Linked DNA regions of Bombyx mori. The protein of the gene in region 1 interacts with the protein of each later gene in a biochemical or structural test. Links are inferred from orthologs where the notes say so. Each region holds a gene or a part of one and is shown in the gene's direction. Other genes may lie near its edges. The genes, in order: hydroxyacyl-coenzyme A dehydrogenase; trifunctional enzyme subunit beta, mitochondrial.

Evidence for each region.
Region 2: the proteins of hydroxyacyl-coenzyme A dehydrogenase (region 1) and trifunctional enzyme subunit beta, mitochondrial are reported together in a solved structure, tested with the Homo sapiens proteins (2 studies listed by IntAct, with this or other methods). The link is inferred for Bombyx mori from reciprocal best matches to the Homo sapiens genes HADHA and HADHB.

The regions. Positions count from the first base shown.
Region 1 is NC_085110.1:11,342,702-11,346,531, forward strand, and holds part of hydroxyacyl-coenzyme A dehydrogenase, read left to right. Parts: coding exon 1-47; intron 48-591; coding exon 592-758; intron 759-866; coding exon 867-1,096; intron 1,097-2,089; coding exon 2,090-2,282; intron 2,283-3,075; coding exon 3,076-3,211; intron 3,212-3,294; coding exon 3,295-3,518; intron 3,519-3,608; coding exon 3,609-3,725; intron 3,726-3,830. UniProt on the Homo sapiens protein: Mitochondrial trifunctional enzyme catalyzes the last three of the four reactions of the mitochondrial beta-oxidation pathway.
Region 2 is NC_085126.1:9,562,038-9,566,473, forward strand, and holds the start of trifunctional enzyme subunit beta, mitochondrial, read left to right. Parts: upstream 1-1,476; 5' UTR 1,477-1,599; intron 1,600-1,606; exon of another isoform or gene 1,607-1,628; intron 1,629-1,704; 5' UTR 1,705-1,750; coding exon 1,751-1,814; intron 1,815-2,359; coding exon 2,360-2,531; intron 2,532-3,812; coding exon 3,813-4,000; intron 4,001-4,436. UniProt on the Homo sapiens protein: Mitochondrial trifunctional enzyme catalyzes the last three of the four reactions of the mitochondrial beta-oxidation pathway.

The DNA.
Region 1 (3,830 bases):
AATGTAAGAAGAATAGGTTCGGAAAATCCCAAGTTGATGTAAAAACGGTAGGTTCTTGATAATTAAACATGATTATCACTATGTCTATTCATAATGCTTTGAAACAAAAAATAATGTGTAAATGAAATAGTTAAGCCATATATTAACTAACTAATAATCATGTTGCATTCTGACGATGAGCATGCAGTTAGCAATGATCTACAAGATCCACTAAATTCAAAAATTTCTAAAAAAAAAATTATTCCACACTCCACTTATGTCATTAGTGTATACGGCAGACTGTATGAAGGTAGTAGTTAAAATAGCTCGTCGTACAAGTAAGGAAAGCCGCCACTCATTTTAAGACATATAACGAAGTCGCCGTTGAATTAGAAAACCTCAGGTAACCAACAGTTAGCTCGCCCTTTCGTGGAAATGATGCCAACCCGAACAATTTTATGTAATTAAAGTAATTTAATAAGTAATTTGTTATAGTACTGATTGTTGATTCTGCTAATAAATTCAAAAGCCCATACTCCTTTGACACAACTTTTTAATTTGTCTAAACTGTAACTTTTAGTTAGTACTTCATTTTATTGAAAATTTTTATAGATTGGTGTTCTTGGTGCCGGTTTGATGGGAGCAGGTATAGTGCAAGTGTCAATCGACAAAGGCTACAATGTCGTAATGAAAGACGCCACTAATGCAGGCTTGTATCGCGGCGTTGGACAAATTCAAACCGGACTAAGTAATGCTGTGAAACGCAAAAGAATTTCATCGTAAGTAAATAATTAATTTTCGACTTCCCCCCTTATTTTACAGAGTTTTCATCAAATATGTATGTTGGATTAGAGCCAGGGATTCATTTACATTAATTTTAATTGCAGTCTACAAAAGGATAAGTACTTATCGAATCTACTTCCTACATTGGACTATGCCAAGTTCAAAAATGCGGATTGTGTAATTGAAGCCGTTTTCGAGGATATTAACATCAAGCACAAAGTTATCAAAGAGTTAGAGGCTGTAGTGCCGAAACATTGTATTATAGCTACAAACACTAGTGCTATACCTATTACAAAAATCGCAGCTGGCAGCAGTCGTCCTGATAAAGTAATTGGTAATTATCAAAAAATTATAATTTTTTTTCATTATTCTAGTATAAGTCAGTGACTCAAACCAGTAAACGGGGTTCAAAATATATATTTTTTAAGTTATTCATTATTGACATAGGGCCCGTAAATATTTCCGACACAAAAATACAATAATTAATTACTGAAAAAATATCTATTCGCCAAATCTAAAATCGACTCAACCACCACATTCAAAAAAAAAACAGATTTCCTTTTTGGCAATATAGCACATATAAAAAAACATAGCCTTCTTTTCAAAACTTTCATTCCTTTTTTAAATTACAGTAGAATCCGGATATAACGACCTTCAAGGGACCGGCGAAACTATGTCGTACTAACCGGATGACGTACAAAACGGCAGAATTATATCTTAAGTACATATGTTAAGTACATATGTTTATCCAACTCATGGAGCATGTAAAAATTTGCATGTCTAACTGTATAGCGAAAAATTGCTTTCTCTTGTAGCAGAGGTACATTCACGGGTATTCCCCAGTCGCGCTGAAGCTCGAACCACTTGAACAATGCCTTATCCACCGACTTATGAGTATAAGTCTATACACGTTAGTATTTTAAAACATTGGCATTAAACAGCGGCTCGATCTTGTCTTTATTCTCCTTTATTGTTGATATTGTAGAATGAGATACGCCAAACTCCTTTGCGAAGGTTGCATTTGTTTCACCGGCTTCTAATCTGAGTGAAGTTGGGGCACTGAGGTATTGGTAGTTTATGTAAACAAAACATTGTGCGTCGTTTTAACCGAACGTATCATCATAATATTCATAATTAAGGGTCGCTATAAGCAGTTGGTCGCTTAAAACGGAGTCGCACTAAACGGTTATATTTTCTCAGTACCTAACTATGAAACCTAACTTGAATAATCATGATCGTCGTTAAAAGCGGTTGGTCGTTATAAGCGAAGTCGTTGTATATGAATTCTACTGTACAATCTTAATTTGAACCTTTTTTTTTGTTTCAGGCATGCATTACTTCTCACCAGTTGACAAGATGCAATTGCTAGAAATTATTAAGCACCCCGGCACCAGCGACGATACATCGGCAGCCGCTGTGGCCGTAGGTCTACGACAAGGAAAGGTCGTCATCACGGTGGGGGATGGGCCTGGTTTTTACACCACACGTATCCTTTCTACTATGCTTAGTGAAGCAGTAAGGTGTGTTACATGTCATTTTAAAATTAATTAAATTAAACTAATTAAACCAATTTGGCTTCTAAAATGCTGGCAGTCTTCACAGAGCGAAGCAATATATACCGTTTGGGTAAAAACTTGTGCTTTACAAATCACAGTTTTGATATCATCTATACTAATACTAATACTAATATAATATTATAAAGAGGAAAGATTTGTTTGTTTGTTTGTTTCGAATAGGCTCCGAAACTACTGGACCGATTTGAAAAATTATTTTTCCATTAGAAGCCGACATTGTCCCTGATGAACATAGGCTACTTTTTTTAATTTTTTTTTTTATTTTTTTTTTTTGCTTTCATGTGTGTTTTAATGTTTCCGAAGCGAAGCGAGGGCGGGTCGCTAGTGTGAAATATTTATTTCATCCTCGGCTGGTAATCCATGTCAATTTAAGAGAGCTATCCAGATATACGATTTCGAAGATCATTTGTGGGGCATTTCATTTTTCTCGACTTTCTGTACTGTATGTACTGTGGAAGAGTGTTTTGAGGAATTATCTAAAGCTGCTACGATCATCTACAATTAGATTTCCAAAAATAAAATCTTCCACATGCCCCTGACTATGTAATAAACTCTGTTCCTCAATATTTCCTAAAACTAATAGTCAAATCAATTAATGAATCATTATTTCGCGGCGGTAATAAGCTGGTGATGCCTTTCCGTACGGTTCCAAAACACACACTAACATCAGTTAATTGCAATATCAGTATTTAACGATATATTTATCTATTTATTACTAATACATACTTTTTTTGTATAGACTGCTACAAGAGGGTGTTGATCCTAAAGAACTGGATAACATGACAAAGCAATTTGGTTTCCCTGTCGGCGCTGCTACATTGGCTGACGAAGTTGGTATCGATGTCGGCTCTCACATCGCTGTGGATCTAGCCAAGGTTAAAAATGTTAAAGGCTCTAATAGTAAATGTCAGAACTATTTTTGTATTTGTTAACTAAAACTATATTGCAATTAAAACAGGCCTTTGGTGATCGCATTAGCGGAGGAAACTTGGGTATCATGCAGGACTTAGTGCAAGCTGGATACATGGGACGCAAGTCCGGCAAAGGTTTCTATGTGTATGAAAAAGGCTCTAAAAACAGGGAAGTAAACCATGGTGCTATTAAAATCCTGAAAGACAAGTATGCATTAGAACCTCGTGGTGCTAATACTGTTGAAGACCAACAACTGCGAATGGTTTCCAGGTATTTTTGACTTCTTGTTTAAAATTATATAACATGACCATAGTGAAGTTAAGTGTTGTGGAGAATAATTATTCTTATTATTTATAACAGATTTGTAAATGAAGCAGTGTTATCATTGGAAGAAAAAATTCTACACAACCCCCTTGAAGGTGATGTTGGTGCGGTCTTTGGTCTCGGCTTCCCTCCATTTACTGGTGGACCTTTCAGGTAATTTATAAACTAGGTTTTAGGAGTTCACTAGGCATTACACATTTAGATATATAAACAATAGATTAAGGTTGCCCTAACAAATATACACAATTGCTAATCAAC
Region 2 (4,436 bases), on another chromosome or scaffold:
GCTAACCCACCATCGGAACGAATTACTGCTTTGAAGCAGTAATAGGCAGAGTGATGGTACATAGCTTGCGGCCTACAAAATGCCCTTACACTAGTAACATACTTATATTCTCAATTACGTTTGGTTTTGGGTTCATGTCTGAAAATTGTAGAACCTCGAAACTGGCAAACAATGGCATCTCGATTGCTATACTGAAAAAAAAAGAAGAGTACAAATAGATGCATTTGTTGTTTGTTCTAAGAGTTGCATTTGTTTGTATTTTTAAGCGAAAGCATGAATTGTAGTGTAGACATCAGTTTCAAACTTCAGACCAACTCAGCGCTTCTTAAATAATATTATTAAAGGGCTTAAACATGTTAAAACCGTGTCTAATAAATAATAGATCTGCTTAGTGTTTGGATGTACTGAAATTAGAGGAAATGAAACAAAATTGATTGACATGCTTAGTTTTTAGGATTATTTTAAAGTCTTTAAAAGCCGTTACAAAGTTTCACTCTTTTTTTCATAGAAAAATAGGGAACGATTAAAAGCAATCGTGGCTAAAAGTCGAGTCGTTAATGGACGTAAATAAATTGTAACGAAATGTTTAGAGTCAAATATGACATTTACAGTGATACAAGAAAAAGAAAAAAACAACAGATAATGGATTAATTAGAAAAAGAAAAGATCACGTTTTTAATCATAGAAAGTATTGAAATTAGTTTTTGAATCTTAATTATAATATACTGCATAGTAACAATCTGATTGTGTGGGTAACGTGATTACATACAAACTTCAAGCTACTGGTACTACTTCCCTAAAATCCATCTTTAAGGCACTACCTAGTTAGCACAGGTTATAATCTTCCCTGTAAACAAAAAAGTAATGTTTCAGCCACTACCAGGGTTAAGAATTAAGTAGCAGTTGATATTTGCATTATTTTATGATCCTCCTCCCTGTGTCACATTCCTCATATCTGAAGACCGTGACCATCTCCTCTCATTATCCTTCTCTAGATGATGTTTCGCCATCTTCCTCTGTGTTCTCGGCGGTGTGTATAGCATCGTAGACGGTGGTATCCAGAGTAGTGCGGGCTTGGTCGGACCAGCGCTGCAGCGCATTGGATTGCGGCCACGAGACCTTTTGCCTGCAATCTTCCCAGTTACTATAAATTTTTCAAAATCGTCAAGATCGTCAAATATCCTCTTGAGGCAGATGGTAGAGAGCCTGGTTTAGATATAGAACCGTCTTAATATCCATCCGTTAGTCCGATATGCTGTCCACGAGATTCATAGCATCTTCCTCCAGCACCACATCTCGAAGGCACCAATGCGGTGGCGATCAGCTGATTTCAGAGTCCACGTCTCAGCACCATAGAGAAGCATTGAGACCACTAGAGTTCGGACAAGTCTCATTTTGGTTTTAAAAGATATTTTGCTATCTCTCCATGGTCTGATAGATATGACTTTATGATATCGTATGATTAATTCATAACCTCCGCTTACATCCGCTTAATAGACAAAATGAAAATAGCAAAGAGTAGCTTTTCACCAATAGCGGCTTTTTACGAAAATGAAGCGGTAACCCCAAAACGCTTTCTTGATCTGTGGTGTAAAATAGGTCAGAGTCCAACTCTCCAAGTTTTTTCACTAAATAGAATACAATTATTTTGAAGTTTTTATATTTTAATTTAATTAATATTTAAACGTTAGCATTTTATTGCAGAAATCTTCACTGTTTAAAGAAAAATTGTCCGAAGTGCCGTACTAAAATGGCTTCACAAGTCGCTAAATCATTGATAAAAGCAAACCACGTACGATCTACTGTTAAGTTCGGTAAGTTGCAAATTATACAATTAATTTACGATAAATATACAATAACGTCCCAAAACAAGAGTCCAGTTACGACCATCAAAGCATATTAAAACATGTTTATGTAACAAATCGGTTGTTTTATCTATAATTTTGAAAAGCAAACTTTGGACTGTGATCCTGGCAGACTTGTTTATAAATTTGCTTGTTTGTTGCCAAATTATATTAATAGAAAATGTTTTGTCCTGACATTTATTTTGGAACTTCAATGTTTTGTCTAATATTTCTTAGACAAAATAAATTTAAGGCAACATACAAACTTTACTATGAAATAGAACAAACAATACGTACACAGACAATACACACAGCCCACACACGACTTCCACAATGAAGGAACATCATCATGTAATAGAAACCGAACCTGATTTAATTAGAATTTGTACAAATATTTTATTTTTGATCTAAACAAAAGTATTTGAATGTTTAATTGGGCTAAACATTGACAAGTTTTTAGCTTTTCGCCCAATATATTTTATGTGGTAATATAAAATGACTTTTTTTTATAATAGATACTGCCAGACGAGCGCTGAGTGTAGCGCCAGTACTGCAGCAGAAGAAATCTCTCCCAGACCGTACAGGCAAGAATGTGGTGCTTGTCGATGGAGTCCGCACTCCATTCCTTGTTTCATTCACCGATTATGCCAGGATGATGCCCCATGAACTAGCAAGACATGCACTTCTGTAAGTTGATTTTAAAGATTTATTAATAAGACAAGATTAAAGGTAATCTTGATTAACATATATATATTTTTTTATTTTCATAAGACTTTGAGAGGGACTAAAATAGTTAAGCAATCTCGCTGTCTCCCTCTTTCTAACTATGTATATCACATGTTGGTTGGTCAGCTTTCTTTAATTTTCTCCTCTACTTAGCTGTCTTTGACATCATCGTCAGTGACATTGAATACCCTCTTCTCCTTCAGCACTACCAACTTATCTTGGGTCTTTCTCTAGGTATCTAACTGGTGATGTCAACTGACTGCGTCAAATTTCCAACATAGTCTGGTGGCCTCTTTTTTGTGTTTTTATTCTGTTACGAGCGAGCTACTTTTTTGAAGTATCTGGATTTATTGGTTAGATGGCTGGACGAGCTCAGAGCCCACTTGGTGCCAAATTGCTATCACAAATAAATATCACACAAAAAAAAACAGGATGTATTTTTGCTCTATGTTATTCCTTTGTTGTCCAATTAGTACTTGACTGTGGGATTGGATAACTGATACAGTAGCATTACTCTATAATAATGCACAGGGCATCTTATTCTCTAGGCCACAACTAATTTTATTTATTTATTGCATAGTTGGATGGATGAGCTCACAGCCCACTTGGTGTTAAGTAGTTACTGGAGCCCATAGATATCTACAACGTAAATGCCGCCACCCACCTTGAAACTCGACACTACAACGGCTGCCCCACCCTTCAAACCAAAACGCATTGCTGCTTCACTGCAAAAATAGGCGAGGTGGTGGTACCTACCAGTGCATACTTACAATGGATCCTACCACCAGTGATTACGCAAAATATAATTTTGCGGGTTTGATTTTTATTACACGATGTTATTCCTTCACCATGGAAGTCAATCGTGGTGAACATTTGTTAAGTAAAGTGGATTCGAACGCCGTTGCATCTATCAATACTAATATACTGGACGTCTTATCCTTTAGGCGATGACGACTTTTATTAATATTCATTTTTAATGTATATTAAAGTAATGTAAGACAGTATATGAAATATGTAAGATTTTAACCTGAAAAGAAAGAAGGGTAGAATTGTATTTTTTAACAATCTTCACCAAGTCTGTATACTTGCACAACAACCATGAAGTCATTTGCTTAATTGATTGCTGTGTGTTTATGTTTTAAAAACCCAGCACTTAGTAATTTTTTTTTATGAAGGAGAATAAGTACCATCACTAGTACACTACAGAGATCTTTATTTTGTGTCTTATGTCTATTTTCATAGTGGTCTCCTACAAAAGACTGGTATATCGAAGGATGTCATTGACTACATTGTATATGGCACCGTGATCCAAGAGGTGAAAACTTCAAATATAGGGCGCGAGGCAGCCCTGGCGGCTGGGTTCAGCGACAGGACTCCAGCGCACACCGTCACCATGGCTTGCATCTCTTCTAACCAGGCAATCACCACTGGTGAGGGCTACAATTTATTTGTGTTTTTTATAATATAGTTGCATCTCATTCTTTGTATATGATAATGATTACCACATCTGTGTTTTAATTATCATAAAGATCTACAGATATCTCGTCAATCTTAAACTCAACAACCAAAATGTTTAATATTTTTTTAAACATTTTTAATAAAAATTGATTTGAGTACATATAGTCATAACTCAGCCATTCATTAGTTTTCTTTAAACTTCTTTATATCTCTTGATCCACCATCTCTCCACATAATGGAGATGTTGTAATTGTGATTTGTGACAGATTTGATTTTTAATTCCCTAGATCGGTGGGTAAGGCCCACCTGGTGTTAAATGGTTACCGGAGCCCTTCAACATCAACGTAAATACCCATCTTGAGACATGAATTGTTAAACTCAGTTATATAGTAGACAGACCCTACTATT